3 linked regions of the Coturnix japonica genome follow. The protein of the gene in region 1 purifies or fractionates together with the protein of each later gene. This does not show direct contact. Links are inferred from orthologs where the notes say so. Each region holds a gene or a part of one and is shown in the gene's direction. Other genes may lie near its edges.

What was found.
Region 2: the proteins of LSM6 (region 1) and LSM1 purify together in Homo sapiens (co-immunoprecipitation; 3 studies listed by BioGRID and IntAct, counting the BioPlex papers as one, with this or other methods). This does not show direct contact. The link is inferred for Coturnix japonica from reciprocal best matches to the Homo sapiens genes LSM6 and LSM1.
Region 3: the proteins of LSM6 (region 1) and SART3 purify together in Homo sapiens (affinity purification with mass spectrometry; 4 studies listed by BioGRID and IntAct, counting the BioPlex papers as one, with this or other methods). This does not show direct contact. The link is inferred for Coturnix japonica from reciprocal best matches to the Homo sapiens genes LSM6 and SART3.

The regions. Positions count from the first base shown.
Region 1 is NC_029519.1:27,568,924-27,579,128, forward strand, and holds LSM6 (U6 snRNA-associated Sm-like protein LSm6), read left to right. Parts: upstream 1-4,911; 5' UTR 4,912-5,100; coding exon 5,101-5,272; intron 5,273-7,507; coding exon 7,508-7,621; intron 7,622-8,831; coding exon 8,832-8,866; 3' UTR 8,867-9,010; downstream 9,011-10,205. UniProt on the Homo sapiens protein: Plays a role in pre-mRNA splicing as component of the U4/U6-U5 tri-snRNP complex that is involved in spliceosome assembly, and as component of the precatalytic spliceosome (spliceosome B complex).
Region 2 is NC_029537.1:3,644,654-3,654,211, reverse strand, and holds LSM1 (U6 snRNA-associated Sm-like protein LSm1), read left to right. Parts: upstream 1-7,367; coding exon 7,368-7,413; intron 7,414-7,552; coding exon 7,553-7,621; intron 7,622-8,176; coding exon 8,177-8,292; intron 8,293-8,362; coding exon 8,363-8,533; 3' UTR 8,534-8,778; downstream 8,779-9,558. Other genes in the region: phospholipase DDHD2, read right to left, coding at 1-82, 409-529, 665-754, 1,452-1,642, 2,525-2,721, 2,871-3,052; BAG4 (BAG family molecular chaperone regulator 4), read right to left, coding at 5,184-5,690, 6,003-6,227, 6,545-6,778, 6,990-7,070, 7,148-7,369. UniProt on the Homo sapiens protein: Plays a role in the degradation of histone mRNAs, the only eukaryotic mRNAs that are not polyadenylated. Probably also part of an LSm subunits-containing complex involved in the general process of mRNA degradation.
Region 3 is NC_029530.1:5,663,252-5,673,615, reverse strand, and holds the start of SART3 (squamous cell carcinoma antigen recognized by T-cells 3), read left to right. Parts: upstream 1-3,849; 5' UTR 3,850-4,104; coding exon 4,105-4,272; intron 4,273-5,510; coding exon 5,511-5,637; intron 5,638-6,223; coding exon 6,224-6,328; intron 6,329-6,478; coding exon 6,479-6,663; intron 6,664-7,535; coding exon 7,536-7,641; intron 7,642-8,395; coding exon 8,396-8,520; intron 8,521-8,720; coding exon 8,721-8,876; intron 8,877-9,164; coding exon 9,165-9,303; intron 9,304-9,626; coding exon 9,627-9,734; intron 9,735-10,149; coding exon 10,150-10,227; intron 10,228-10,309; coding exon 10,310-10,364. Other genes in the region: ISCU (iron-sulfur cluster assembly enzyme ISCU, mitochondrial), read right to left, coding at 1,966-2,057, 2,274-2,352, 3,075-3,185, 3,519-3,632, 3,709-3,795. UniProt on the Homo sapiens protein: U6 snRNP-binding protein that functions as a recycling factor of the splicing machinery. Promotes the initial reassembly of U4 and U6 snRNPs following their ejection from the spliceosome during its maturation.

The DNA.
Region 1 (10,205 bases):
CAACCTAACACTGACATTAAATCACATTTTATTTCTAAAGAAATGGTGCTCTCCAGCTCTGCAGCTAATAAAGATACAGAAAGAACAGTGAGATTATTCCACAGTCTCCATTATTTTAAATACTTAATTGTTTGGTTTCCAGAATTAACAGTAGACCAAATATTTATTTTTCAAATCTTTGAAACTAGAAATATTTGGGATTTTTTGCATATCTCTTTCCTATTTTCCCTCCACTTCAAAAATTATTTATACTAATAAAAATAGCTTCTCTCATCTACTCAAACTTCTGTTAATTAAACGAATGTGGCTCTGAGGAGGTAAGTGATTCACTCAAGGTCACCTTGGAAGCCTCAGGCAGAGGCACATGAGAACCCAGGCAGCCTGAACACAGACCCGATCATTTTGCCTCTTTGCAGTGTTCTCACAAGAGGAACTCATATCAACAGTGAGTACCAACTCTGTAGCTCCACTTGTGGCTCTCAGTCGAGGTAATATTCAGTAAGGCATTCCTCACATGGACAAACCGAATGATCTTTGTACCCTTATTTCTAACATATGATTAATATTTTTATTTGCATTTCAGTAATACCTAATCAAGAGTTCTGCATACTGTACAAGCAACTAGAACAAAAGCTTTACAGCCTCAGAGCTGTAACCTCAAACCAGAGGTTGCAGCCTCAGAGCTGTAACCTTGAAACCTCAATCTTCTTTTTTTTCTTTCATTCCCCAGGGCAAATGCTTCAAATTTCCCAGTTATCTGCACTTATTTTTTAATTTTCTTTTTTTTTTCTTTTTTTTTTTTCCCCCCAGTATGTAATGTTGTGGTCTGTGTCAATAAACCCAATTTACTACTATTACAGCCATGATATAAACTGTGCTAGCTGCCCCTCCCCATGAAGTAGCACTGCTGGGCACAGGATCATGTCTTACATTTTCTGTGTTGACAGAAAAAACAAAACAAAACAAAACCCTCTCAAATTATTTTAGGCTTGATCTACAATCCACTGCGTGCTAAAATCCACAGAAAGTCTCTAAGGATCTCCCTGAGGAGAGGTCAACACATATTTTCCCTGTAATATGAAATACCTGAGAAGGTTCAGATAAGAGGAAAGATCGTACTGAGAGTCTGGAAGAAGTCAGGGAATGGCAGATCCAGTCAGCTCCCCAAAGAGACTTCGTCTTCTCACAAATCAGATGATACTTGTGCCCTAGAGCATCACCTGGATCCCCAGGGGGAAAGGGTTGGGGCCCACGAAAACCTAATGAGGTTCAATGCAGCCAAGTGCAGGGTGCTGCACTTGGGTTGGGGCAATTTCAGGCACTTATACAGACTGGGGGAAGATCTCCTTGAGAGCAGCCCTGCAGAGAAGGACTTGGGGGTCCTCGTGGATGAGAAGCTGGCTGTGAGCCAGTAGTGTGTGCTTGCAGCCCAAAAGGCGAACTGTGATCTGGGCTGCATTAAAAGAGGGATGGCCAGCAGGGAGAGGGAAGTGACTGTCTCCCTCTACGCAGCTCTTGTGAGGCCCCATCTGCAGTACTGCATCCAGGCCTGGGGCCACCAGCACAGGAAGGATGCTGAGTTCATGGAGCAGGTCTAGAGAAGGGCCACTAAGATGATAAAAGAGCTAGAGCATCTCTCCTGTGAGGAAAGGTTGAGGGAACTGGGCTTGTTTAGCTTGGAGAAGAGAAGGTTCTGCAGAGACCTCATTGTGGCCATCCAGTATTTGCAGGTAGCATATAAGCAGGAGGGGGAACTGAATTTTTGTGACAAAGTTTTACCACAGTACAAATTAGAGCAGCCCCATGTTTATTTCATATTCTCAGGTGGGTGTCAGAAGCAGTTTGGGGGAGCTGGGAACTAACCTTGCAGATATTTTACACTAGCAGGTCAATTTAAAGTCACCATTTTAGCCCATGTCTGGGCTTAAACTTGACATCAGCATTATCAACCTGAAAAGATGAACTTCACCATCAAATGGGCTTTGGAAAAATTTACATTGAAGTATCGCCTGGGATTGAAATTCTACAATGGAAAAAAAGAGAGAGAGAGAGAACCTGTGTTTGTTTAATGTAAATATTTTAGAAAGCTTAAATGTAGAAGAGTGGCTCCACTATGATCGTAATTTGGCTAGAGCCTAGCTAAGTGCCCTCCCCCCCCCAAAACAAACAAATGAACAAAGCAAGTGGAGCTTCGAGCCTCTACTTAGTGCAACAGAGAGCATAGTTCTCATGTGATCTGTTAGACTGTATTCGAACCAGATAGAAAGCTGGAGACAAAAACATGTGACAAAAGGTAATCATGTTGCTTAATTCATATTGGATGACATGAACATCCTGGAGTGGGAGCACAAAGTAAGGAACTGAAGACAATAGAATTTTATTAGGCTCTTTGACTTAAATCTGTAGCACAGAAGCAATGTTTTTTTATTAAGGTCCAATTTTAAAATGCATTAACTTTTTAATTGAGAGTATAGCTGGCAATCTTCAGTTCTGATGTTCTTGGGAATAATGCTGGATAAGTAAGCCTCCATTTAAGGGAAAAAAAAAACCAAAAACTTTCATCTTTCATTGTATAAGCAAAGATACAGCATCATTTACTTGCTAAAGGGCTGGAATTCTCCCATCAAAATGCATGCAAAGGGAATTTCAAACACCTCAAGGCTCATGAAAATTCTCATCTCTTGGGGGAAGCCAAGAACACAGCTAGGTACTGTGAGGGAGGTGAGCTCTGAAAGCTTCTGGAGATACACTCTAACACACGTGGGAAGGGGGAGAGAAAGCCTTGGGATGGGTTCTCAGGTTGAAATAGCTTTCTTATCATGATGTTGAGCAGCACAAGGTATCAATGTATTCTGCCCTTCTGTGAGGATCCTGTGGGATAGCTTTGGAGAAAACAAGGAGCGTGGAAAGGATCTGAACCAGAAACCACTTGATAGAGTTTTGGATTAGGCCAGTGGACAAAGGGACTCTTCAGCAGCCAGAATATGTTGTTGAAACTTCAGTTTCTAAAAACAAGCCATGACAACTATAAGCTAACAGCTATCTTTCTGGTACCTGATCACTGAGTTAGATTTGTTTTGAAATTGCCAGTGTATTTCAAAGATTTTTGTTGTAAGGTTCTGAGTACAGAGAGGTAATTACCATAACCTCCACTGACTTCAGTGGGGGCTGGGAGGAGAAGAGAAAGACAGACAGACTGTCTGTAAAGTTGAATAATATGAAGATGGTAGCAAAGATAATTCAAAAGGTTATTTGTAAAGGAAAACTCACCGATATCGATGCCTCAGCTGGGAAAAGCTGAGGCAATCTCCACCAGAAAGCAATCTCCAAGAGATGCTGCCTCAGTGGGGGTCAGCCCTTAAATGAGGTCTAGAGGAGGTGGAGTCGAGCTCCACCCCTCCCAGGAGCACAGCTAAATTACTCTCACCTGTGCTCCCACAGCTGACCCGACACTTGCCTCAGCTGATTAATCAGAGGTTCAGGCTGTGATTACCAATTTCTCATACACTGTCAAATCCCATTTCGTTTTTTTAAAGTTAACTGCAAATTTTAATGAGGTTCTCTGAACAAACATTCTGAGGTGCTTCACATTCAAGACTTAGCAATAGTAGACGAGCCCCCAGCTTCCATCATTAAGTTCAGCTGGTAAAGGCCACAGCAACTCTTCATGTTAGAACTTTGTCACCATTTATGTTTGAGGTGAAGAAGCTATAATGGAAACTTTGTGAGCTGCGAAGGACTGAAAACTCCCATTGTAATTTATGACCTTTCATCTGAGGCCAAATGTAAAGGCAATCACAATTGTTCTATATCTCAAGGCTGGCACATAGCAGATGTATGAAGTTTGGAAGTGTTAGACATAAACTTTTATTACCAAATTATAAATAATTTCTACCACTTACAATGTTCACCTTTCAAGTTCATCTTGATTAAAACACACGGGCAGAATGTCACTGATTTCAATGAGTTTTATACAGCTGGAAAAATGCTCTCTGCTTTGTGGAACGATAAAGCAATGCCATATTTTAAAGAATGTACTGATAGCAACGCATGCAAAGTTTTAGACCCAAATCCTTTTTCATCTAGATGACTGAAGCAAAAAGAAGAACCATTAAACAGTGGGTCTCATTTTTTCACACTCGAAGCTTTGAAATCTGCGAGGAGTCTACAGAATGGATTACATAATTCCTTTGAAAACCACCTACCTGAGCACTGGGATTGTGTGACTCAGGAAACAACACATTCTTTAGGTTGTGTATTTACAGTTGTGATTACATTATATAATCTTTGTGAATAAGCAAGAGAGAAATTTTCTTTCCCAATGCAAAACCCACTACACCAACATGCTCAGCAATGTGTCCTATTGCACAGAGGTTCATTTACTCAGTACAGCATGGAAGACTGTTTCAAGGCTTATACAGAAAACCAGGACAAATTTGCTAAGGTGTGGGTTCATGGCTCAGCCTCAAGCCATAGAAGTGGCGAGCTAAGGATACAACGTTGTCCATCTCTATTTCAGTCTTTCGGAATACATATGTTTGTAAATTTAGGACTAAAAAGGAAATTAGAAGGATTTTGTTGACTGGCATCAATGAACCAAGTATCCATAGACAGAAACGATAAAAATAGACAGAAACTATAAAGATAAGTTTAAAACGGACACAGATGAGGTTTTGCAGAGGTCAGGCCACAGCTGGGTGCAGAAGCAGAAAGCTGCTCCCCGTCCTTTGGCAGCAGGTGATCCCATCCAGCTCCTCCCTGCAGCGATAGAGGCGGCGCTACTCAGTGCAGCCACAACCCGCCCCGCTTTAGCGAGCGCGCCCGTCCCGCCGTGTCCCTGCCGCCGCGCCGTACCGCCCGCCGCTGATTGGCCGCGAACGCGGGGCCGGGCGCGCGTAGCAGCGGGTGAGTGTGAGCGGCGTTGTGTCTCGGCCCGGCCGCAATGGGGCACCGGGCGGCGGGGTGCGGGCCGGGCTGTGCCTCGGTGCGGGGAGCGGTGCGGAGGGACCTTTAAGCCCATCCACTTCCAGCCCCCTGCTGTAGGCAGGGACGCCTCCCTCTAAACCGGGTTGTTCGCATCCCCATCCAGCCTGGCCTTCAATGCCTGCAGGGTGGGATGTGCTGCTTATCCATATATCGGCTTTCACATCTATTCCCAGCGTACCGACACAAATCAAGATGAGCCTACGGAAGCAAACTCCCAGTGACTTCCTAAAGCAGATCATTGGAAGGCCTGTTGTTGTAAAGTTAAATTCTGGAGTCGATTATCGAGGTAAGATTCCACCTTGTCTGTGCAGTGAGATGTCCTGCTCCCTTTAGGCTGAGCCTCTCCAATAGCTCAGCCTCTACAATTATTTCTTTATCTCAGTCTTCGTTAAGTTTGGATGCTCTTATCATGCCTCTCCCATGAGGAGACAGGTGTTTTATTCTGGGATGATTTAAACGTTATGATCATGCCAGACATCGCTACTTCAGGTAGGTTTAATTCAGTTGGCTCATCTTAGTGCTCGTTTGTCCTTTGACAAGGAATCTTGGTGTTTGGACACCAGCCCAATGTCATACAGGAGTTATTTTCCTTTCTTTGTTTCCCTCCATTCTCCCTAACTCCCTCCTGGTGCTTACATTTGAGAAATGCACACTTCATTTCTCTACAGAAATTCGATCACTTGTATAAACCAAACATCAGGAAACCCAGCATCTCAGGCTTTTGTTGCAGATCTCTTCAGATTCTGCCTGTAGGCTACCCTTCTCATTTTATGTTTGCACCTCCACCCTCCCAGCCACTGTGAGCACAGCAGCTGCCTGGTTCTCACGTTGGTGTGCAGCTGTAAAATGTCTTGGTTCACTGCCAAGCGCTGTACTCATCTAAGAAGTCCTGGCAAAGTGCACGTGTAATCAGTTGTACAGATGGATATGAATGTAAAAACATTGCTGCATACTGATAAAAAACAGGCAAAATATGAGCCAGGGTGGGCAGCAACAGTATGTGATGCTATTAGTATTCTGGGAGTAAATACAAAGAAAAGAAAGACAACAATGAAAGAAATGAAGATGCACCCTGGCCAGTTGAGTGATAGCTTAAAAAAAAACCCCACAGCCCAACTTCAGCTTGGGGCAAACATTTGTTTTCTGTGGCATCTTGAAGCACTCAGGATTACTGGTGTGAAAATGTTGTCACTGACTTGGCTTGGAAGGTTTTGGTGTATTTAAAACACTTTGTGGCCAGACAGAATTTCCCCATTTATGTGGAAACAGGGATGAAAAACACATACAGGAAAATACCAATCCTCAAGCCATTACAAGTTGGCAAGAAAACTTGAATTCCTAATTATTTAATGGAGGATATTACAGTAACGCTTCTGGAAAATGAGAACATACCCTGGAGGAAGATTCTCAGACTGGAGTTCTCCCCCTCCTCAAATACAGCCAATGTACTGCATGTCTTCAGTTTTAATAGCAGGTAAATTAGATTCTTGTCCATTTTGGTAGTTGTATTTTTAATAGTGGTGTCTGTGTGCAAGGAGGAAGTCAGGAAACACACACAAACAAGATGGAGATGAGCAGCTTGTTAGAAGTTGTTTTATGTATGCAATTAGCAAATTGCATTGTGTACGTATTGCATTTTCTGAGCAGTTCTTCACATCCGTTAATCCCCACATTTAGTTCACTATGTAAATGTTCTGTTTGTACATCACTTAAATTTGGCTGAAGATTTCAGTGTCATATGAAAACCCTTTCCCCGTTGAAGATGTAGAATTGATTTACACAGAAATCACGCTGGCAGCCCATGTTATTCTGTCTATAAGAATGAAAATCACAGAATCACAGAATTGTAGGGGTTGGAAGGGACCTGTAGAGATCATCGAGTCCAACCCCCTGCCAAAGCAGGCTCCCTACACCACGTCACACAGGTAGGCGTCCAGGCGGGTCTTGAATATCTCCAGAGAAGGAGACTCCACAAGCTCCGTGGGCAGCCTGTTCCAGTGCTCTGTCACCCTCACCGTAAACAAATTCTTGTGCACATCCGTGCAGAACTTCCTGTGCTCCAGTTTCTGGAAAATAAATCAGAAAAATGTGCGTGGTGTCCTGTATTAGAAGGGTTATTTCTCACATATATCCTTGATGAGCTTTGGTCAAAACTCAGCTTGTAGCCTTGTTCTTAGGCTGCCCAGTTACACTTTATGTCACAGGTTCTTCTCAGGAGTTGGGCATAAAACAAAAGTAAAAAGCAACAACTAAACTTTCAGAATGGAAGATGTTCTCTTTCAAAGTCACGTCTCAGTGAGTTCTCCCCACCCAGTCATGTACAGGACCTGGAGTTCCCTACTCTCAGTTTAGTTCCTTTAATGCTCTCTGGGCTGCTGACTGACTCACCTGACCACATTTGGAAGTTTAGTTTGCTATGAAGATACAATTTTTTTCCTTGTACTGTTCAAATGCAAAGCCGTTTTGTTTAGTTCAGAAATAAGCTAAAGTTGATTCACTTTTAAACTATCACTCTCTTTAGGTGTCCTGGCTTGCCTGGATGGCTATATGAATATAGCTCTGGAACAGACAGAAGAATACGTAAATGGACAGTTAAAGAACAAGTATGGGGATGCATTTATCCGAGGAAATAATGGTAACTCCTCCTTCTTGTGCTGTATGTACTTTTTACAGCGCTTCTTTTCAGTGCCTGTGCTTTTCCTCAGACCTGGATGAGTTCTGTTCATTAGTAAAGGGGGCTGTTTATTATTAAAGATTCTACTAGAGGTTAAGAAAAATTACTTGCACTTCATTATTGAGCCTTGGAACATCCCGGTGCAGTAGGTGGATTGTAGTACACTTTAAGGACAATTAGCATCCTTCCCCAACACAAGAGAAACTTGCTTTAAACCATGGGCTGATGCTGTGCTATCAGCTAGTTAGGCTATAGTAGTGGGACATGCTAGGGAGAAGAATATCTAAGCATGGAAAAGGTTCACAGGTCAGATGTGAGGAGACTTGGAGAGAAGGTAAATGAAGCAGAGTCTGACAAAGTTACTAGGAAAGAGGGAACAGAAAGAAACAAGATCTGAACCCCACGTTATGTGTGTTGTTTTGTTTAGGAAAGAAACAGTCCTTGAATGAGGTCAAATTATTGTTTTTTTATAAGGAGTTTAGCTTGTTACAGTAAGGTTACATTGCAGCCAGACAATCAATTCTAGGAATAAGAATTTGTTAGGAAAGTTAAAAACAAATGGATGAGAGGCAGGAAAATAAAGTATAGGCTAAAGAACTTAAGACATTCCCTGTTTAGGAGCGTGATGTGATTTCATCACTTGGGCATTCAAAATACAGCCTGCACAGTTCCACTCCAAGGCAAAGGTGTTCCTACAAAGTGCATGGGAAGCACCGCATTACATGATGTTCTGGCAGCAGCAGCCAAGTAGGTGAAAGATGTCTGCTGGTTCATAGGTGCTTGTTAGCATTGCAGGAAGTGCTTGGGATTTCCATCTTTTGTTGAAAGATCATAACGTGGCTGTCCAACACCCTTAATTCTGCTGCTTAAAAGATTCTATCATGCTCTCCTTGTTAATGCTGCAGGGTAGCTAGGCTTATTCTCCCTCCGTGCAGTCTGCATCACCTGGAGCGTACCATTTGACTGTGAATTTAATACTGAGTCAAGTTAGTACATAAATCTGATAGCATTTCTTGGAGCCTGGACTTGAAAGTTCTTGACTTTGCTCATGCTGAACGGGATTAATTACACTCATTTTTAAAAGCCACAGAAGTAGTAAGTATTAAATAAACAGGCTTTGCACATTACTTACTGAAACTCTCATAGCTGTTCTGCTTTCTTCTTTTCACAGTATTGTACATAAGCACACAGAAGAGAAGGATGTGAAGATGCCAGAAGGAGGCTCTTCTGTATTTGTGAATCTCTCCAAATGGATGAGACCTATTTCATTTGTAGTTAATGGTTCACAGGTGACATATTTGAGTGCTTATTTTTTAAAAAATAAATGTAAACCAATGTAACCTTTCTGGATATTTTTGTTTGAAAATATTGTTTTGTTCCTCTGAACAGAAATAAAAATGAAGCATGCAGCAGTGTCACAAGACTAATTCAAAGCACCAGCTCATTTGGTTACACTAGCAGTCACGACAGTACTAATCCATAGGTAAGCAAGTGTAGAACTGCAAATTACAAGTCATGGCAAAAGAAGGGTTTAAGTGATGCTGGGAAGGGAGAAGCATTTGGTGACAACGACCTGTTCCTTTCAGAAAACACAGTCAGTTTCAAATGCCAAACTGCGGTTAAGAGTCACTGGGTAAAAAAGTCAGCTGCTGACTGGTAAATTACCCCAAACATCTTGAATTGTGGGATTGAAATCAGGGATGTGACGGTGACACTTCAGCAGTTAGGGGTGGGGACCGAAATGGAAGAAAAGCCCTAAGGGGTAGCACTGCCCCGCTGTGGAAGTCAGTCACCAGTGAAAAGCTCTCAGCTGGTGCCCCAGCACAGCCAGCAGCCGCATCACCTCCTACCTCTGTTCCCCGCCCCTGCTTGCAGTACCTTTGCTTTTACAACTCTACCACACACAAAGGATTTCTTCAGTAAAAAACAACTTTAATATCTAAAGCTACTCTTTAAAACAGACTGGAAGTCTCAAAGCTTTTACAAACGTATCCTCTTCAAACTGCTCACTCCTACTCTCCCATCCACTTATCCCCAACCTAGTACCATCCATATTTGCTCATTTCTAGCCAGAGAAGTGTAATAATATATTGAACTCATAGCATGGGGTATGTGTCAGGGGAAGAGAAATCTCTGGTAGGCAGTGAAGTTGGATCTTGTTTGTTTACATTCTGCTACAACGCTCCCAGTTAATCAAAGACCAGCGAGTAAACCCAGCTCAGTTTTAGATGGATACTTGCATCAATTTATAAAATAGCTTCTCATTTTATTTGCAGTCAGCCAAGAACTAAACCGTGGATGTTCGGGTTGTCTGATGTTATTGCACATAACGTACTGATCTTTCACAACATTTTCTTGTTCCTCAAGACAAGGATAAAGTTTAGGGTACTGCGCCTTGTGGTAAGGTTTTTGTTTTTAATGAGTTTTCTGAAGCCCTGCTTTATTCTTTGAGCCATCAATATTACATTTGTGAATAAGGGAAAAAAAGTTCTTCTGGCTGTGGATGGACAAACAAGACAACAACTTCTTCCCAAGTACCAGCAGC
Region 2 (9,558 bases), on another chromosome or scaffold:
ACGATGCTCCTGAAGCGGATGTCACACGCCGGCCCGATCCCATGCACCACAAAAACCAGGTGGTCAATCTGCAGAGGTTCCCCTATGGATAGAAAGAGTTATAAGATATGGATAGAAGAGTTCAGGCCTTGCTTGGTAAGGAGCTGACCCAGTGACCTGACAGGCACCAGGTGGGGCAACATTCTGTTCTTTACTTCCCACACGCTTTGGTTTGCGTAACTACTTTCCCAAGTGGAAAATGAAGGGGTTAGATGGGAAGAAATGCCTGTCCTCACTGCTGGGACAGCTCACACAGTGCTGGGACACAACTGCAGAGCATGGAAAGGGAGAGCAGCAGGTAGATTCCAGCATGGAGCTGTGCTCCCTTCATGCTTTGGATGGCTGTAAGGGAGGCAGAGGCACGCTCACCATTGGGGATCTCAGCAGCAATGTTCTCTACTCCTCTCTTCACAGTCCGAGGTCGCCCTTGTTCTGTAGGAGTTGAGCCCCAGTCGTCAGAGGTGGCAACGGGTTGGTAGTGCACCATGAGCTGTGAGCAAGGAGAGCCCATCAACTGTGCTGCACTGTGTGCTGGAGCTGAGAACATCACTGGGCTCCCAGGAGGGTCAGTGGGAAGCATTGATGGCCAAAGGATGTCCCTGCCTAGCCAGCAGGCTCTGCTCACCTTGGGGTTGTGTAAGATGATGACTTCCCTGTTTGGGGATTCCAGCTTCTTCTTCCACTCATCCAGGGTTACAGCAACCATGTACGCTTCCTGAGGGAAAGAACGTCCTCTCTGAGTCAGCTGAGGGTATTCCTATGGATATCCAACTGCTTTGAGACATTATAAGTGCTGGTTTGTCAAAGAGGCATAGAAATCATCCAGGAGAGGCCACAGGATTGTCTCCATATTGCATGCTAAAGTATTCCCTGTTGGAATAGCAGCAGAAAGCTTCCCCACTACTTGTGTATTTTAATACAGATGACTGTAAATAAGTTTGTATATCTCAGCAAAGAAAGCCCCCACCCTTTACAGCAGGTACCAGCAAACATTCTATGGGCCCCTGCAGCAGTAAGAACTATTTCTTGCATTAACAAAGTGAGGATGACTGTCCTATGGCCATAAGAACCGAAACACAGCAGTACCAGGCAGGGCTGGGGGAAAACACAGAACAAAGACAGCAGGGAGAGGCTGCAGGATGGGCCGGAGCTGCATGGCTGGTGGAGAACAAACAGGCATTGAGCAGAGTGCTCCATGATGGGGCGGAAGGGGAGGCAGAGCAGTATTTAGTTGTGTTAATCAGCCGTGAAAATGCCGTGCCAAAGCATGCCAAAGCCTATTCTGAGTTCATGTCCTCAGGTGCAACGGCAGCACCAATGGCCCCATATGGAGTTTGGGATGGCAGGGTGGTGTTTGGCAATGAGAAGCAGAGGGTGGTGGTGAGCTGTGTGCTCCAAGGGGGTGTTTTTACCTCCAGCTCCTCGCTGAAGCTCTCTGAATAGGGGACGTATTTATTGTCCTTGTCCCCTTTATAAAACCAGGTGCAGCGTCGCACCTCGGACACCTCCTCCTCCCAGAACACCGCCAGGCACTGCCTCTGCTTCAGGTGCACGTCGTACCTCCCACCTGATGTCGGGACGACCACATCTGCTTTATCCTTCCCTGGGGAAGCAGAATGAATCGTGTGAGGGGCCCAAAAGGTGAATTACCAGGATGCTGAACCACATAGAGGAGACTGCAGCAGCAACCAGCAGTGCTGTCTGTATGCACAGAGACCTGAGCTGGAGAGATGCCTGAAGCCAGACATCCCCAGTGGCAGCAGGTGAGAGGGAAGCACTGAGCTGCAAGCACTGAGCTGCAAGCAGTCCCCTCCCTTCTAGCTTAGGGCACGGCCTTCCAGGGGCTCTCCCTGCTTGCATTGAGGTGGCAGTGTGTGAAATCACTGCCCTGGGACCCTGCATTGGTGCAGATCTCCACCTTCAAAGCGTTCCCATCCAGAACAGAGAGCTCTGCTCACATCCCAGCACAGCCCCCACTGCCTGTGCTGTCATTATGAAGCACAGCAGTGTCCCCTCAGACAGATCTGCCCTCCTGCTCAGGCTTCTGTCCCCCCTATAAAGGTGCTTTCCAACATGATGTATAATATAATATACAGCATGTGCCATATTAACAAGGCCAGACCTTATACTACCTCCTCCATCCTCACTGTCCATGCACTTACAGCTCCAGCACTGCCACCAAACACAAGCCTCAATTACAGCTTCCAAAGGGGGGAATGTTGCAACCCAAGCAGGAGCTGTGGGCTTTCCCTTTGCTGCTTGCAGCATGCATCACCACCCTGCTTCCCTTGGGCACACGCCTGATGCTTCCATTGACCTCACCAGGCCGGTTCCCCATCACACACGCAGGGGATGAGGTGTTTAAAAGACCTTTAAAGGCCATTGAAGCACAGCGCTGACGGGCTGAAGGCGCAGCACCATCCCGTATCCGATCGCATTGGCCGCACGCAGGGTGTGATGGAAGCAGTTCGGACCGATCTCCTACCTGCACTATGAGCCTCTTCCAGCCTCTCCGAGTCCTGAACGCTGAACGGCAGCCACCGCTCCCTCCCGCCGGTCACCTTGCAATAAAACCAATGCGGAACGACCGCTTCGTACCCATTCCCCGCGTCCAACTCCGCAGCTTCGTGGGCAGCCCGGCTGGGCAGCGCCGGCTGCTGCTCCGGGTTAGACATGATGCTCCTGGATAAAGGACAACGACGGTCGGACCCGCGGATCTCTACGCACAGTGCAGAGCACAGAGAGGCCGCGCTCCGCTCCCCGCAGCGCCCTCGCGTCCCTCCGAGCCCACGGACGGAGACATCGCCGCCCGTCGGTGGCCGCTCACGTACGTAGGACGGTTCCGCTGCTCCCCGGCCCGAGGGGCGGCACAGCGGGGCGGCACAGCGCTGCTCCCCGGCTCCGCTCCCGACCCGGCTCCGTTCCCCGCCCCCGGTGCTGCCTCCGCTCTTTGCTGCGCCTGCTCGGGGCGGGGGGGGCCGGCCGTGGATCGGGGCGGTCCATCCCATCCCATCCCATCACCATCACGCGAGTCGATTCCGCGGCCGTTTCACCCCAGCGGGGACCGCACCCGCTCGGCATTGCGGGGTCGGCGCTAATTAAAGGCCGGCGTTCATTAATTACAGCTTTACTCCGGCCTTAAGCCGGATGTGCTGCCGCGGTTCGGGGCGGTGGTTCCCCGGTGCCCGGTGATACCGCCGCCCCCGTCGTGCTATTGAGCAGCCTTTCATCACCCCCCCCTTTGCCCACCCTCACCCTTCCCTTCCCATAGCGGGGGCTCAGCGCCGGATTCTATTACAAAGCAATGCGTTACCTGGATGGATTTAGCACCAAAACACCCCAAAAAGCCTCCCCCCCCCCTCCTTCTTGCCCCTCTCTCCCTCTCCATGCTGTGCCGGCACACTCAGCTCTTCTTCCAAGCAGATACACCAAATATCGTTCCTACCACATCGCTGTTAATGGAAACCTTTGCCCCGGCCCCACGGAACGCTGCAGTTTGATTGCAGCTCTTCTGCTCTGCCCGCCTGCATTGCGGTGTCACCGCTCGGAGATAAGCGGGGCTGCTCTCCACGTGGCTGCCTGCACGGGTAGGACCGACCAGCCCCTTTATCAGGCAGCTGACAGCGCAGGGGGGCGAGCATCAGAGCAAAGAGCAGGCAGGGGATGGGGTGGGTTCATTCCCAATGCTGCCTTTGCTGCTGAAACAAGGGTAAGAAAACCTTCCTGCCTTCACATCCCTGGATGCAGGGACTGCCCATGGAAGCAGCAGAATCAGCATCAGCCCTGCGTGGCATTTGGAGCTGCCCAGGTGATGCTCATACAACAAGCAGGGGATGCTGCAGGGCTGACTGCAGCCATCTCACATCTGCTCCCCTTGGCTGAAGCGTGGCTCCCATGCAAGAGCAAATTGCAGACCTCGTTGAGATCCTTCCTAAAGGGAATGCGAAGCTTTGTGCCAACAGTGTCTGATAGAAAACAAGTGTTGTAACAGAGGAAGAAATGGGCTTTGGTAATTAATTCCAGCTCCTTCCCACCCCCAGGGATGCCTCAGTGTTCTGACTGCTGCATGTGATCTCACACACATCCAAAGAGCTGCAAAGGTCAATCCATGCATGTACTCCATGCCCTGAGGGTGGCAGCCAATAGTAAATCCCTTCCAAAGCACGGCCAACAATCCTGCAGTGGGGCTGCAGCACTCACAGCCTGCACTGCCCCCCAGCAGCACCCAATGGGGGGCTGCATGTGTCCATATACCACACTCACCTCTAAGCTCCACCTGCTGCTACAGCCCAGCTGGGCTCTGCTATAAGCTCAGCAACCTGGACACAACATCCCCTTAAAAAGAAGAAGAAGAGACTTAAGGATTTAATTACAAAACAACATTTAAAAGTCATCAGGGTTTATTATGATCTCATTACACGCAGCAATGATTCGCTTTGCATGTCGTAACCAGGTTCACCCAGTAGGCGTTACAATTAAAAAGTGGATTTGACCCACGCGACCTGAAAAAGCATTTTCTGCACCTCCCACTGTCCAGGGCTGCACGGCTCTGCCTGCAACTGGCTTTTCCAGGTGAAAAACTCAGAGTTCCAGGCTATGTTCCCACATCCACACGGCATCACAGAACAGCTTCACATCAGCAGAGCTACAGGGAGCGCATTGGAAACAAAAAGAGAACCCCGGGATGACACAAACCAGCTTTTGTGGGTAAGGGATCTGAAGCTGAAAGCACACGCACTGATGGACCTTCATTTATGGTGATGCATGTGACAAGTGCTGCAGCTGTGGCTCCACGAGGTACCATGGATTTGGGTGGATTTGGACCCGGTTTGGGGAACTTTGTGCAGTGATTTTCTTCTTGCTGGATGAAGGACACAGACAACCCAGTGCTAAACACCTTCAGGTGGTGCTGCTTCTTCACATCCCAGAGCAAACAACTCAATTTGCTGCTTTCATCTTCTCTTCATTGGTCCAATGCTGAGCTGTTGGTCGGGGCTGGGCTTTCCTGTGGGTTTAGGGTTGTTTCTTCTTTTCAATCAAGTCTTATTGCTTTCTCATTATCAGTAGTGCTTAGCAGAAAGAGCTGAGATTTGGATTAACTCTTTGGAACCTCCACAACAGGCTGCATTGTGGCTGATTTGCTTTCACAATCCTTTCCTTTCCAGTTTTTCCAGTATGGCCTGAATTCTATGGACAGCTTCTTTCCTGGCCTGTCGGACACCATCCTGCCCACCAGTCTCAATGGAATCCAGTTCTAACAGCAGCTTGGTCAGCATCTCCTCCAGAAGCCTGTAGGATTTATCTGTCTTTTTCCCTACAAATTCATCCACCTCTTGTTCTAACTCTTCAGCCTGCTCTGTGACCTGTAGGATCCTCTGTATCTCTGGCTGGATGGCTGCAGAATTCATTGCAGTGTGATTGCCAGCTTTGCAACCTGCCTCCTGGTTCCCAGCCAGCTGCCTCCGAGTTGCACTGTTGTACATCTGGGGCTGTGCACTGTATTGTACCTTGGGGTTGGAGGGAGATGACTTGGAGTTATGCAGCAGGGAGGGTGGTTTGTGGTCATTCATTGTCCCAGGGTGCTGGTGATTGCTGTCAGAATAGTAGCAGTGTTGGTTTGCACTCGGATCAGGTTTGTCATAAGCAGATTCCTACAATCAGAAGGGGAAAAAAAAGAGTCTACATTACAGAGGCATTAAATGAGATCTGCTCCACTTCAAGACCCGCCTCTCAGGGTCTGCTATCTCCAGTGCTTTCTTCAATGGCAGTTTGGATATATAAGCAGGTGATTTTGCTGGCAGTACTTAGAACCGCTGCTTTGTTTTTGTCTCCTGGAAGCAAACTGTGCTTGGAGAAAGGAGCACTGAGCAGCTGCATGTGTGTATTGCGGGGGAAGGCAGCATGAGCTGAGCTCTGGCTACAGCCAGAATCTTTGTGTCAGAGCCATTAAAGCATCACTGTACCTTCGAGTCCCACACAGGAGGATGAGCTGCAGTCCTGCTGCCAGTCCAGGGTGGTTGTGATTCAGAGAGGAATGGATTCCCATGTGCTGGAGCTGCAGGCCATGCATACCGTGCCTGCACCCCATAGTGAGGGGGAGCCCACGCCTCCTCCTGAGCCCTGGGCTGTGGGTTGGCCCCGGGGCTGTGGTCTCCATATGGATACTGAGGAACGGGCATCCCTGGGGTCTGTGGGGAGAGGGGGACAGATGTAAGTCCTAAGTCAGCTCCCAATGCCTGTGGCAGAAGGAAGCTCTGGGATGAGCCCCAGCACTGGGATGAGCCCCAGCACTGGGACTGCTGCTGCTTTCTGCTCCAAAGCTCGTGACCTCAGAGCTCCCAGCAGAAAGGGGCAACTCCAAGTTCTTACAAGAGCAAGCAGGGCGAGCTGGGTGGGACATAGAAGCCATTTGGGCCCAATTAGGGTGCACTGTGGGTTCACCCTCTATGGGGTGAGCAGCACAGGAGCTCTCGCTTTGCTGTGCACACCCTAAATGGTTTCTTACCTGCGGTGGGGAATACCCAGCAGCCTTTTGCCTGCGCATTGAGCATCCCTCTGCTGGGCAGTCCTGTGTGCCACAGCCCCAGGGAGGGGCAGGAGGGGGGGGTCGATATGGGGCTGAGCTGTCGGTGCTGTAGGATGGACCTGAAGTGCTGTAGGTTCGTGTTTGTGGCAGTGAGGTGTAATGGGGAGGGTATGGGGCGCTGTAGGATCCGTTGGTGTAGGGTGAGTCCATAGCCTGGGGAGGAGAAAAGGGAAAAAGAGAAAGAAAATGAGCTGAAATGTGTGTTAGGATATTTAATGGGTTATTTCTGTACTGAGCTGTAGGAAACAAGTGGGGCTTGAAGCCCATTGTATCCTATGGCATAGAAATGAAGCACAGCTCGGTCAAAGCCTTAATGGACGGGAGGGGGATGGAAATGGACCCTCATCCCCCAAACCCAACATACCGAGTCCGCTCCGTCGGTGTAGGCCCCAAAACCGAACGCTGGGCTCCAATAACCGGGGTTGAAGCCGGGGCCTGGTGGCTCCTATAAGGAAAAACCCCATTATATGGAGCAGTGATAACGGGATAACGGGCTGTGCTCGGTTCCCCCCCCCCCTTTACCTGCCCGGTACGACCGCGGTGCTCCATGTTTTCAACCCGGCACGCTGTAGCCCACCCCACAGCGCGACACAAGGATAAAAGGCCCCCACCATGCGACCAATAGGATGCGAGGACCCCTGGATGTAACCAATGAAAGGCAGCCCCGCTCGCACTACCGGCGCCGCTTTTAAAGGGACAGTGCATCGCTAAGTACCGCCCAACGTGGGGCGGTTCCGCCACCATGAACTACATGCCGGGTACTGCAAGCCTCATCCAGGACATTGACAGTGAGTGTGACCGAGGTTCTATTCATTCAATAAGGAACCAAGGGGAAAACCGGGACCCGGACGCGGGGGACCCCGGTTTTCCCCTTGGTTCCCATTGGGACCGATGTTCCGTACCCCCGCTTGATCCCTTTCCCCATAGAGAAACACCTGGTTCTGCTGCGGGACGGCCGGACGCTGATCGGATTCCTACGCAGCATCGATCAGTTCGGTACGGATATAATGGGGGGGGATAGGGGGGGCAGCACCGGGAACGACACCGGATCAGGGCTTAATAGAACCCATATGGCTCCGATAGGAACCCAGTTTGTGGTTCCCCCATCCCTTGTCATGTTGGACCCCCACCCCATGTTATATTCCCCCCTTAGGGCAGCACTAAGTTCATCCCCCCATTGACTTGTGCCTATGGCTGAGCCCCCCAGTCTTTACCTCCCTTTACCCCTCTTCTCCCTACCCCCCTTTCCCCCCTTCCCCATTCACTTGTGCCTATAGCTGAGCCCCTCATTCTTTACCCTATAGCACCAGGGATCCCTTTATCAGCTATAGGTAGTGGCTGCTTTGGGGTCCTATAGTGGCTGGGTTTGGGGGATCATGTTGTTTAGGGGATGCTCAGCATATAGGATTATAGTGCTATAATGCAATCCAGCTGCTCCCTATGCTTTAGGCTATGGGTTGTTTCAGGTGAGGTGCTCTGTTTGGTGAAAAACTGGGTGGTTTTGGTAAAAAACTGGTTAAAAACGGGGTGTTTTTTTCTCTATCCCCACAGCCAACCTGGTGCTGCATCAGACAGTGGAGCGAATTCACGTGGGCAAGAAATATGGGGACATCCCTCGAGGGATCTTCGTTGTGAGAGGGGAGAACGTGGTGCTGCTGGGGGAGATTGTGAGTGAGCCCCGTGCCCTGCAGCCCCTCACCCTGCAGCTCTGCTTAACAACAGCTCTTTGCTTTGCAGGACCTGGAGAAGGAGAGCGACACGTTGCTGCAGCAGGTTTCCATCGAGGAGATCCTGGAGGAGCAAAGGTTGGAGCTGCAAGCCAAGCAGGAGTCGGAGAAGCTGAAGGTGCAGGCGTTGAAGGAGAGAGGCCTGGCGGTGCCCAGGGCTGACACGTTGGATGAGTACTGATGGGATGGCAATGCTGAGTGGTGCAGGCACTGAAATCATGGCTTCTGTTCCCCCTTGAGGGGAAAAAAGGAGTGATGGCAATGGGGAACCCTCGGAGGTAACTGGATGCTCCGGGGGGTGCAGCAATTTCTGTTCAGAGATGAAGGTCTCTGTTCCTTTTTGGTTTGTTTCTTTTGGCTCCTCGCCTGGAGCTGAGTGAGAGCTTCCCTTCACCTGTAAATAAACCCCTGATCTCAACAGCAACAGCTTGGCTTGTGTTTGGGCTCTGTGTGGTTATGGGCACAATGGGACTCTCCATGACCTCAGGTGCTGGGCCCAGTTCAGCTCTGTTCACTCAGGTGCAGCTGTTTGCCCCCTAATTAGTTAATTACCTGCTGAGTTGATGGAGCATCACATGTGTGAGGCAGGTAGGTAGGAACTGAGTGGGTTGAGCTGAACTGGGTGCTGCAGACTTCAGCACTTGTAGGTAAGGCAGGAAAAAGCAGAGTTTGGGGTCTTTCATTACCATGTGTTCTCTGATATTATGGGGCTCCTATTGGTGTCAGTTCCTGCCTTACAGCCTGGGCAGTGCCTGTGTTATCTTATTGCCTGCCCCCTGTTGTGTGTGTGTGTGTGTGGGGGGGGGGCTGTGTGTTTATCTCTGCTCTCCAAATAGCATCAAAGCAGCCTTGGGGCAGTGGGGGAGGCTGGGGGGCACCCTGAGGTCCCTGCACATGGAGGGGACATGGATTCAGCCCCCCCTGCTGTGGCCTCTCCTGGGCTCAGGGCACTGTGAGCAATAGCAGTGCATTGGGAGGGCTGAATGTCAAAGGGGATGTGAGGTCCCTGGGTGAGTAAGGAGGGTGTGCAGTGAGGCTGGTAGGGCTGGGACCCCCCCTTTCTTGCAGTCCCTGGGCATGGTGGTGGTGTGGGACACCTGAGGAGGTGCTGATGTGACGCTGTGGAACCAATGAGGGACACCTCAGTTTTATAGGTGTCCTGAAGTTCTGCTGTGTCCCTGGAACTGGGGCGCCCTGGAGCTGAAG
Region 3 (10,364 bases), on another chromosome or scaffold:
ACCTGGAAGGCAGCACAACCCTGTATCCTCATGTATGGGAGTTGTTAGGCCATGGGCTGAATCATTGAGCAGCTGGTGAAGGGGTGTAGTCAGCCCTGGGAGCACAGGTGGAAGCAATTCACCTGGGTCCACCCCTCCTTAACCTCATTTAAGGGCTGGCAGCCACAAAGGAAGCATCTCTACCTGGAGATTGGCTCCTTTGTCACATTTGATGAGCCCTGATCCTTGGAAATGGGGTGAGCAATTCTTTCTTTATTACTGGATTGTGACCACTACCTTTCTTGGGTTTAAAGCAACTGTATCTGCTGTCATCTATCCTTACACCTCACATCCTTTTACCAATGTCGCTCTATGCTTTTAATATATCCCCATTACTCCAGCTGACAGCATTTTGCAGGGAAACCAAAGGATTCCCCCAAACAGGAGTGACAACAACTTAAAATAATAACTCAAAAAATAATTACATTGCAGACAGAAACCAGAACGAGCCACTTATTTTTACTGAATGTTGTTTTTAATGCAGCTGTGCAACATCATAGGTATGAAAACTGGAAAGGAAGATAGGGTGGGGCGTGGGGTGAGGATGTTATAAGAGCAAGGGAGGTTTTTAAGTGCATTTTCTTTTGATTTGAAGATCTGTGGCAACACTCCCTTGGAAAACAGCCATCGCTGTGAGGCACAGGGGAGCACAGTGGTCTAAAGAACAGAGGGTAAGCCATGCTGTGTGGCCATAAAACGCCTGTTTTGAACTGACTCTGTGCCCCACGCTCCCAAGGAGCCCAGCTCATGTGGTGGGTGGGCAAATCCTCCACTTGGTGAGTGCTACCCCTGTGCTCTCTTCATAACTCACTCCTCCAGCGAAGCAGTTTGAGCAGCTTTAGCTGTGCACACAGAGCTGCTCGGGGGAGGTATCTGCCAGGCTGTGTTTTTGAGGTTTCTTTCCACAAATGAAGAGAATCCAGCCCTAAAACTACCAAAGGCAACAACAGAAGCTATCAGAAATAGCATCCAAAATCAGCTCCAGCAGCAGGTAAGGATCCCCTTCTGCCCCTGGCTTAGTACCAAGAGCACTGGCTGCTCTCTCTGCCCTGGAAGGGATGGGGGAAGTTCAGAAGACACCCCCAGAGGGCACAGGCTGACTCCTGCTCTTCCAGGGAGGTTCCCCTCAGTATTACATCCCAGTTAAGCTATTTGCATTCTGGGTTTGAATCCTCAGCGTGTGTTTAATCTCCCTTAACAGTATTTGGCAAACTAAAGGGTTGAATGCTTTTAAAAGATGCTCCAACATTAACCCTCCTGCTATTGGAGGATGTGAACACAAACATGTCCTGCTAACGCTGCTGGCTCTGAGCTTCCTGGCAACCAACTGCAGCTGCTGTTATTTGCTCACCTCCCACAGTCAGTGCCCTCTAGTGCCTGGTGAAGCATCCCAGCTCCTCCCAGAGAGCAGCGTGACGCAGGGGATAGACAGCATGTGAGAGGTCACAGATTGTGAAACCAAACTCCAACACAGCTGCAGCCAAACCACATGAGATTTATATATACTGTATTGATTGACAAAGTGACCCACATAAAGACCAAGGCAACCAAGTTTCCCACCAAACTCTTTGTAAAACATTAGGCAAAACTATACAGAAGAAAAAAAGTGCAGCCCTTCCAATGCTGGAACAGGAGGATTCTTTCTCTCTTGAGAAGCTACCGGGGGGTTGCCCTGAAGCAGAGCAGCCCTTCACTCTCACCATTTCAAAACCAATCCTGACAGGACACAGGCTGCTGAAATACCCACGTTCCAGTCATTTAAGCACTACCAGGGTGGCTGTACACACATGACCAGTGACACGTTGTGCGTTGAGTTGTGCGTATCTTACAGCTTCTTGAGTAGTGCACAGGATTCTATTAACAGCTAGAATAATTGCACTGCAAATTGAACTGGAATGAGGACAACCTCTACAGTCTGTTTAGGAATTAGTCTGCTTTCTGCTCTGACTCTCCTTTCTTTGGATCCTGTTTCAGTTTGTAGTCAGCCAAGGCAGCCTTGATTGCATCCTCAGCCAGCACTAGGGGAGAAAAAGAGCACAAAACAATGTCATTTACAAGCACTTTAAATAACAGTGACAAGTCACTTAGAACAAAAGATGCAGTACAAGCAGAAGCAGCCAGCAATAACCACCACTGTGGGTCAGCCTTAGCTGCTATGTGTGCAAAGCTTTATTTGGAGAACGTACAAAAGCATCTGTGTTCTCAAATAACAACGTGTTTGATGCTTTACTTACTAGAGCAATGCAGTTTGACCGGAGGAAGGCAAAGTTCTTTTGCAATGTCTGTGTTCTTGATTTTCAATGCTTCATCAATCTGAAATGTATGGGTAGGGTACAGTCATCAGTCAGGCATACACATGTACATATGATGCCCACACACCACGCAGGTATTTGATACAGGTGTGCTTCAAAGCACTGGAACCAACCAAAGTCACGCTCTGAGAAGGCAGTAAAAGCTGCTGATAGTGTTCTACCATAAGAAAGGCCTTTCAATAATACCTGTTTTATTCTGCTCCTGCCAAGCAACAAATCTGCAACCTACTACAGGGAACCTCCTTTGGCAGAGGAGCTGGACTAGGTGATACTCAGAGGTCCATTTCAACCCCTGATTCTATGAAATATAAGGAATGTCTCAAAGTGTGCAGTGCTTGTTAATAAACCAGAGCATTATTTTACTGCTGACCAACTGCAGGGACTGTTCCAGGTTTGTTCTGCTGTAATATAGAAACAACCTGCTTGTCACAATGCCAAGCACACGGAGATCAGCCAATGGAAGACATTCCACTATACAAGTGCTTTCTTTATCTATTTTCGATTGCTGTGTAGCACCCAAAGCTTCTTCACAGCTTATTGGAGACTTCCAGAAAAGGCAAATATTGCTTTAAAAGTCAGGAAAGATGAAACTGCATTCTGAGCTTCTATGTGAGTGTAACACCTGGAGAGCACCTCTCTAGACCCCTGTTTCCTTCCCTGATCCCAGCAGTGGGTGTGAATATGTACCTGCTCCCCACTGTGCCCCTTAAGCCAAGCCCTTACCGTCTTCCCTTTCACCCACTCTGTTGCCAAGGAGCTGGAAGCGATGGCAGAACCACAACCGAAGGTTTTGAAGCGAGCATCAACAATGCGGCCGTTCTCATCCACTTCCACCTGTGGGAGTTATCAGAGGGGCGCTCAGTTCCACGTAGGAACCACACACAAAGGGACAGCGATAGGACAGCGAGTTTAAGGCTGGGGGTTTATCGGATTTTAGGGCCTGCAGAGGGACTTTAAGGGACAATGAGTTTAAGGCTGGGGGTCTATTGGATTTTAGGATCTGCAGAGGGGCGTAAAGGGACAGCGAGTTTAAGGCTGGGGGTCTATTGGATTTTAGGGCCTGCAGAGGGGCTTAAAGGGGGTGTGACGGAGGAATCCTATGTCACAGCCATATGGTGGCAGACACTGATGGTTGTGTCCTTACAGGGCACCCCGTGCTCCCCTCACCTGCAGCTTCATAACGTCTCCACAGGCCGGGGCTCCCACCAGGCCCGTACCCACGTTCTTTGCGTTGCGATCGAGAGAGCCCACGTTCCGCGGGTTCTCGTAGTGATCCACCACCTGCGAGAACAACGTGTCACTAACAACCCCCAACGGGCACTATGGGCTCCCCACAGCCCTACCCGGCCCCTCTCACCTTCTTGTGGTAGCCCGCCCCCCCCACCGCCGTCGCCCCCCGCCCGGGCCGCAGCAGCGCCGCCCCCGCCGCCCTCAGCGCCGCCATCTTGAGTCTGCCCGCACCTGGCAGCGGCGCTCTGCCCCAACCCTCCCGAAGGACCCCTGGAGGCCGAGGCCCTGAGGTGTCCGTGGCGCTGCCTCTGCAGCAGACTAAATTATAAGGAGTAACGGGCCGAGCTGCTCGGCTTTTCGTGGCAGTTGGACGCGGAGAAGAGCAGAACCTTGTCGGGAGAGTTTATCGTCCTTTCTTTCACCGCTTTTGGCTGGGGGGAATGTACAATATTGAGACAGGCGCGCAGTAGCCAACCCCATCGGCTGGCTGAGAGCGGCCGGCAGCGAGGCGAGCTGCAACAAGATGGCGGCGGCGGGAGCCGAGGCGGCGGTGGAGGAGGAGAAGCGTGTGGTGGAGGGAGACCCCGAGTCGGGGGGGGATTCGGAGGATGAAGGCGACTCGGATTCATCAGGAGACGGCGAGGATGAGGAGAAGGAGAACGAGGCGGAGATCCAGCGGCTGGAGGAGCAGGTGGGGCCCGGCTGTACCGTGCTTTGGTTATGGAGATCTGGAAACGCCTCCGGGCGTGATGCCTTTTAATTCGCTTTTTATTCCTCGCTTCAGGGCGAGAGAGACTCAGGGAGCAGCCCTGGTATGTTGAAAGTGAACTCAGATGGTGGTTTCCTTAGTGATCTTGAAGGAATTAAAACGCGTTTGCTGAGGAGGGCTCACTGGGTGTTAGCGCTGTGTCTGTACTTGGGGGCTCTCGGGCCTTAGGGCTGTGAGTTCAGTCTTCTGCAGAACTTTAAAGCCCAGCTTTAGTAACAGGGATCTTCTATGAAGGGCTGCAGAGGTGGTCGGGGCCTGCAGCTTCTATTTGAGGAGCCCTGAGGCTGCCCTTGAGGCAGGAGGGAAGGCTGAGGGAGCAGCACTTGTCAGGGTAGAAATCGTGAAGATGGGGCCAGGTTCTTTTCAGCCATGCCCAGCTACACGATAAGGGGCAGTGGGCACAAACTGGAACCCAGGAAGTTCTATCTGAACGTGAGAAATAACTTCTTCGCTGTGAAGTTGACAGAGCCCTGACACAAGCTGCCCAGGGAGGTGGTGGAGTTTCTTTCTTTAGAGATGCTCAGGATCCACTGGGATGCTTTCTAATGCTACCTGCTGGGGGGAGGGTTGGACTGAGGGATCCTCAGAGGACTTTGCCTTTTCCTGTCACTTACAGTTCTGTGATTCTGTGTAACTGAGCAGGGAGGTGAATGTCTGTCTGTACTTGGCCCTGGTGAAGGCAAGGCATCTTAAGTGCTGCGTTTAATTTACTCACTACAGAAGAAAGGCATCAAGGCCCTGGAGCATGTCTGGAGTAGGGCAGCAGAGCTGTAAAGGGTTTGGAGTACGAGCTATATGGGGAGAGGTTGAGGGAGCTGGGGATCACAGAATTGTAGGATGGTTCTCCACTACTCCCTGAAAAGAGGTTGTAGCAGGGTGGGAGTTGCTCTCTTCTCCCATATAACAGCGATGGGACAAGAGGCAAAGGCCTTAAGTTATACCAGGGGAGGTTCTTGTTGAGTATTGGGAATGACTGCTTCTTCAAAAGAGCAGTCAGGAATTGAGACAAGCTGTCCAGGGAGGTGGTGGGATCACCATCCCTGGAGGTGTTCAAGAACTGCAGGGATGTGACACATAGAAAACAGTGTGTAAAGTTCTGTTCTGCTGAGTATTTGCTGACTTCTGCAAGCCTTTAAAAACTTCCTTTATTTTCTTTAAAGCTTTCCATCAATGCTTTTGACTACAATTGCCACTTGGATCTGATAAAGCTGCTCCGCCAAGAGGGAGAGCTGGTGAAGCTCAGAAGAGCTCGGCAGAAGATGAGTGAACTCTTCCCACTTACTGAAGGTACAGAGCTGCTTCTCCTTGCAGCTGGTAATACTGATGAAGCATCATCAGTGTGAAATACTCTTTGTGCCAGGTTTCAGCCATGCTGTTCCAGCCTAAAGGATCAGATTGAAGCTCTGAACTCAACTTGAAGCAGGCCTTTCTTTTTATTTATAGTTAACACTGTAACAATATAAATACCTGGCAGTGGGCTTTTAGCTTTGGCAAGTGAAGGTTTCCTCTTAGGCATGTGGGAACCTGCAGCCTCTAAAGCCATCTGCTGTTTCTTGTAAAAAAGAAGGAAACTGTGCCACTCAATGCCTCTTTGCTGGCCTATGTGCATTCTCTGTGCATGGTGCTGACCAATTGCTGCTCACAGCTTCATCTCTCTTTAAATAGAAGCATACTTGCTTAGGACTAGGTTGGAGACATCAGTACCAAACTTTTCATTTAAACTAATTGTGTGTAGATGCGGGGACTTAAAATTGCTCTTTTTCTCCCCATTTTCTCTATCCCCATTTTTAAGCCTGTTATTAAAAAATAACCAAAAATGTAAAGGGAAAAGTTTTTTTCCAAGCGTTGGTGACTGTAAACTTCTTGGTTTCAGAAATCTGGCTGGACTGGTTGAAGGATGAGATAAAAATGGCTTCTGAGATCTCAGAGCGAGAGAAAGTTTATGAGCTGTTTGAGAGAGCCGTGAAGGATTACATCTGTAAGTTCTTAATGTGTGGGAGTTAAAAAAACATTTAAAGGTCTATTATACTGAATAGTAAAGACAATTTCTATGCCTTTGGATAAGTATTTGAGATGCCTTTGTATTTTCGAGGACATCAGCTCTCCTGTTTCTCATAACTTTGTTTAGGTCCTGAAATTTGGCTGGAATATGCCCAGTATTCAATCGGTGGCATTGGTCAGGAAGGAGGAATTGAGAAAGTTCGCTCAATATTTGAGAGAGCATTGACAGCGGTTGGGCTGCACGTGACAAAAGGAACAGCTCTGTGGGAAGCGTACCGTGAGTTTGAGAATGCCATCCTGGAGACAGCACAGGTAAGGCTGGTCTGATGGGCTGCTGTCAGTTAGAGGCTGTGGTGGAGCTTCCGAAGTCACCTTATGCTGCTTATCAGTCTCCTTGGAGAAATGAGGCTGTGGTGTCACTCAGTTGTTTCTTTTCAGCTGTAGAGACTGACTGTTTGGACTGAGAAAAATGTTCTGTGTTCTGTAAGAGTGGAGGTGTGTTAAAATATGTTCATAAAACCTCACAACCAGAAGCAAAACTACTCTACTTCTTTAGCTTGTACTGACAAGAATAAGTAGCTTCATTATTAAGCATTATTATTCATTCTAGTGAATACTTTTGCCCATAATCAGTGATGTTTGCGTTTCTAGGCTGCCTTATGCCTCAGTGTTGAATTTATTCACTGTTTCACCCTTTTTGAAACATCAGACTTTGCGAGATGACTAGAATGTCAATATTTCTGTTTCCTTGTAGCTTGCTACATAAGACGTGAAAGTTGGTCAGTATTGAAATGCCCATGCAGAGGAGTAATGGGGGAATGCTCTTCTGCTTGTAAAAAGAAAAGAATTGAGTTTTAAAGCATCTCTGCAAGCATCAAGGATTTATTGAAAACCTATCTGTAGGTTTGTGAATTGGAATGATCACACACTGTTCTCCAGGTTATCATTTCCCAGTGTCTGCTTTCACTGGGGGATGCTTTGTACTTTCGTCAGCTTCTGACTAGCAGTTTCCAGGTTTTAGCTTTAGCAGCAGCCACGTGAAATACAAGTTGGCCATGTGTGTTCTTCAAGGATCATGTAGTAGTGGTTTGGAGCCCAGATCACCAACCCGTAAACAATACCCCCTTGTGTCCATCAACTCAGGCTTGAGGGGGCTGATTAAATTTCAATCCTTTTGTTTGCAGCCAGCTCCTGGCAGCGTTCCGTCGCCTGAGCAGCAGCAGATGCTCTGCAGCCAGCTTGAAAGGATCCACACGCTGTTCAGGCGCCAGCTGGGGATCCCACTGTTAGGTGAGAGCCTGCGTGCTTGGGGGAGTTGGCGTGGATAAACTGTATTATGGCAAAGTAGGCATGAATTGTGATTATTCTTTTGGTAGAGCCACACAAATTGCAGCTGTTGGATTTGAGTATTCATGGATCAATTACATTTGCCTGCCTTTGGGGCCCCTTGAATGATGCACATTTCCCGTTTGTTCGGAAATATTCGTAGTCATTGAAACTTTGTTTATCTGTTTCCATGCTGCATAGTTTGAGGTCATTCAGGCTGTTTAAAGTACAAGTAATTAGCACAAAGCATGACCCTTAGGAGCTAGGAATTCAGCTGAGAAGCTCACTGTGTACGAGCATTGGCTGATAGGTAAATGATACATGCTGACAGCTGGATTGATAGTCCTGCTGTATCAGTTTCATACTTCAAACTCCTCAAGTCCCTTTTCTTGCTTCTTTATCTGCATACAGGAAAAAGGTCTTAAACTTCCTTATTTTTCCATTGAAAGCATCTAGGTTGGTTTCTTCTTTAAAGCCCTGAGAAAATCTTGCAACTTTGGTTTTGTAAAGGAAAAGCTAATGATTATGAGCAACTTGTCCTAAGTTTTTGTTCAAATTACACCTATAAGCTGAATCATTTAGTCATATGGTAGTCTGACAGTTAAGGAATAAAACTATAAACAGAAACGTGACCACGTTAGAATCAAGCAGAGATTGAATTCCAATTATTTAGTCTGTTGAGTGCATTAGTGATGCGATTTCGTGTCTTTTTTAACAGATATGGACACATCATATGCTGAGTATGAGGAATGGTCCGAAGATCCAATACCAGAAACAACAATAAAGAGCTACAAAAAGGCTCTACAGCAATTGGAGAAGTGTAAACCATACGAGGAGGCACTGGTATGTTGTTACTTATACATTCCTTTAAAATTAAGAATTAAATCAAAAGCTGAAATGTAGTTCCCAGCACTAAAAGTGACAGAGCTGCTGAAATGTAGAGGCCAAGTTCAAGTTTGGAATGTTGTGCAGGACCTACTGAGTCAGTTGAGCTGTTTGAAGCATGCTTTGTTTAGAAGACTTCTATTTTTCATGTCCTGTAGCTGGGTGCTGAAACACCGAAGCTAGCAGAATACCAAGCTTACATTGATTTTGAAATGAAAGCTGGTGATCCAGCTCGCATTCAGTTGATCTACGAGAGGGCTTTGGCTGAGAACTGCCTTGTACCAGACCTGTGGGCACGCTACAATCAGTATTTGGTAAGGAAGGGAAAAATAAAAGGCTTTTTTCCTTGTGGGGTTTTGTTTATGTCTTTGCCAGACTTAACATGGCACAGAGTTACTGTTTATTCTGCTCCTCCTTTCTGTTTTGAGGGCATTCACTGAGTTCCTATGTGTGTAAAATCTAAAACACCAGTCCTGTCTTTAGATTTTCAAATATAAGATCCATATATATTTTTAAGTTGTTAGCTTTTTAAGCTGCTATTTGTCTTGGGTGGGCTTTTTATCTAACAGGAGTTTAAAACTTTGGTGTGTGATTTATTTCAGGACCGGCAGCTGAAAGTGAAAGAATTGGTTTTGTCTGCTCATGACCGTGCTGTCAGGAACTGTCCCTGGACGGTTGGGCTCTGGATTCAGTATCTTTTAGCAATGGAGAGGCATGGAGTTGATCACTGCATTATTTCTGGTATGGAAAGGTTCTCAACAGTATTTCTTTACACTGCAGAACTGATGTGTGACCTGTAGAATTCGTTGCAACCTTTCTGCAGCAGTCTTAAAACTGATGACATTTACAGTAGTGTGCTTCTAAGGCACAGCTGTGTTGGTTGAGCAGCTTCACTACTGAGCAAGTGCTTCATTTCAACTTTGCTTGAACACTGCTAAATTAAATTGGCTTTACCTTGAATTTCTTAACTAATTCACTGTATTTTCTTTGTCTTATACTTTGAAATACAATGGAAAAGGAAATATATATTTGCTTGGTTGTTTTTTTTCCTCTGTTTCTTTCAGACATGTTTGAAAAGGCTCTGAATGCAGGCTTTATTCAGGCAACTGACTATGTAGAAATCTGGCAGGCGTATCTTGATTACCTAAGAAGAAGGGTGGATTTTACACAAGGTATATACGGTACATTTGAATATACATTTGTTTGCTGCCACTATTTCAGATGTACAGAACTTCTATTAAAAACAAGCATATAGAAAAACACAAGTTTTGTATCTCTCGCAAAAGCTGCTTTCTCCCCCAGTTACTGTCCATAAAATATCAACTATTTTAGAACAGCTCCTTGCTGAAGGAATAGCACAAAAATGCCCTGATCTGTATTTTAGCTACTTGATGGGCTTTGTTGCTTGTGTTAACTTTTGTTGCTGTTTGTTTTTTAGTTTGCATATAGTGAGTTTTACTGAAGCAGCAAGTTGTATCTGTTTCATTTCCTGCCAAAATAAAGTCATCCATGGGTGTTAGTGAAGAGGCTTTAGGGGATAAGAAATGAAAATGGTAATATTAAGGCATTTCTTTCTATTCTCTAAAGACTCAAGTAAAGAACTTGAAGAGCTGCGATCTGCATTTGCACGTGCTGTGGAGTATCTGAAACAAGAAGTAGAAGAACGTAAGTTAAATCCAATGTATTACCTGCTTTGTTCATAATATTTTTTTCAAGAGCCATCCACAAACAGTATTTTTCTTCCCAGGCTTCAGTGAAAGTGGAGATCCATCCTGTACCATCATGCAGAACTGGGCAAGGAT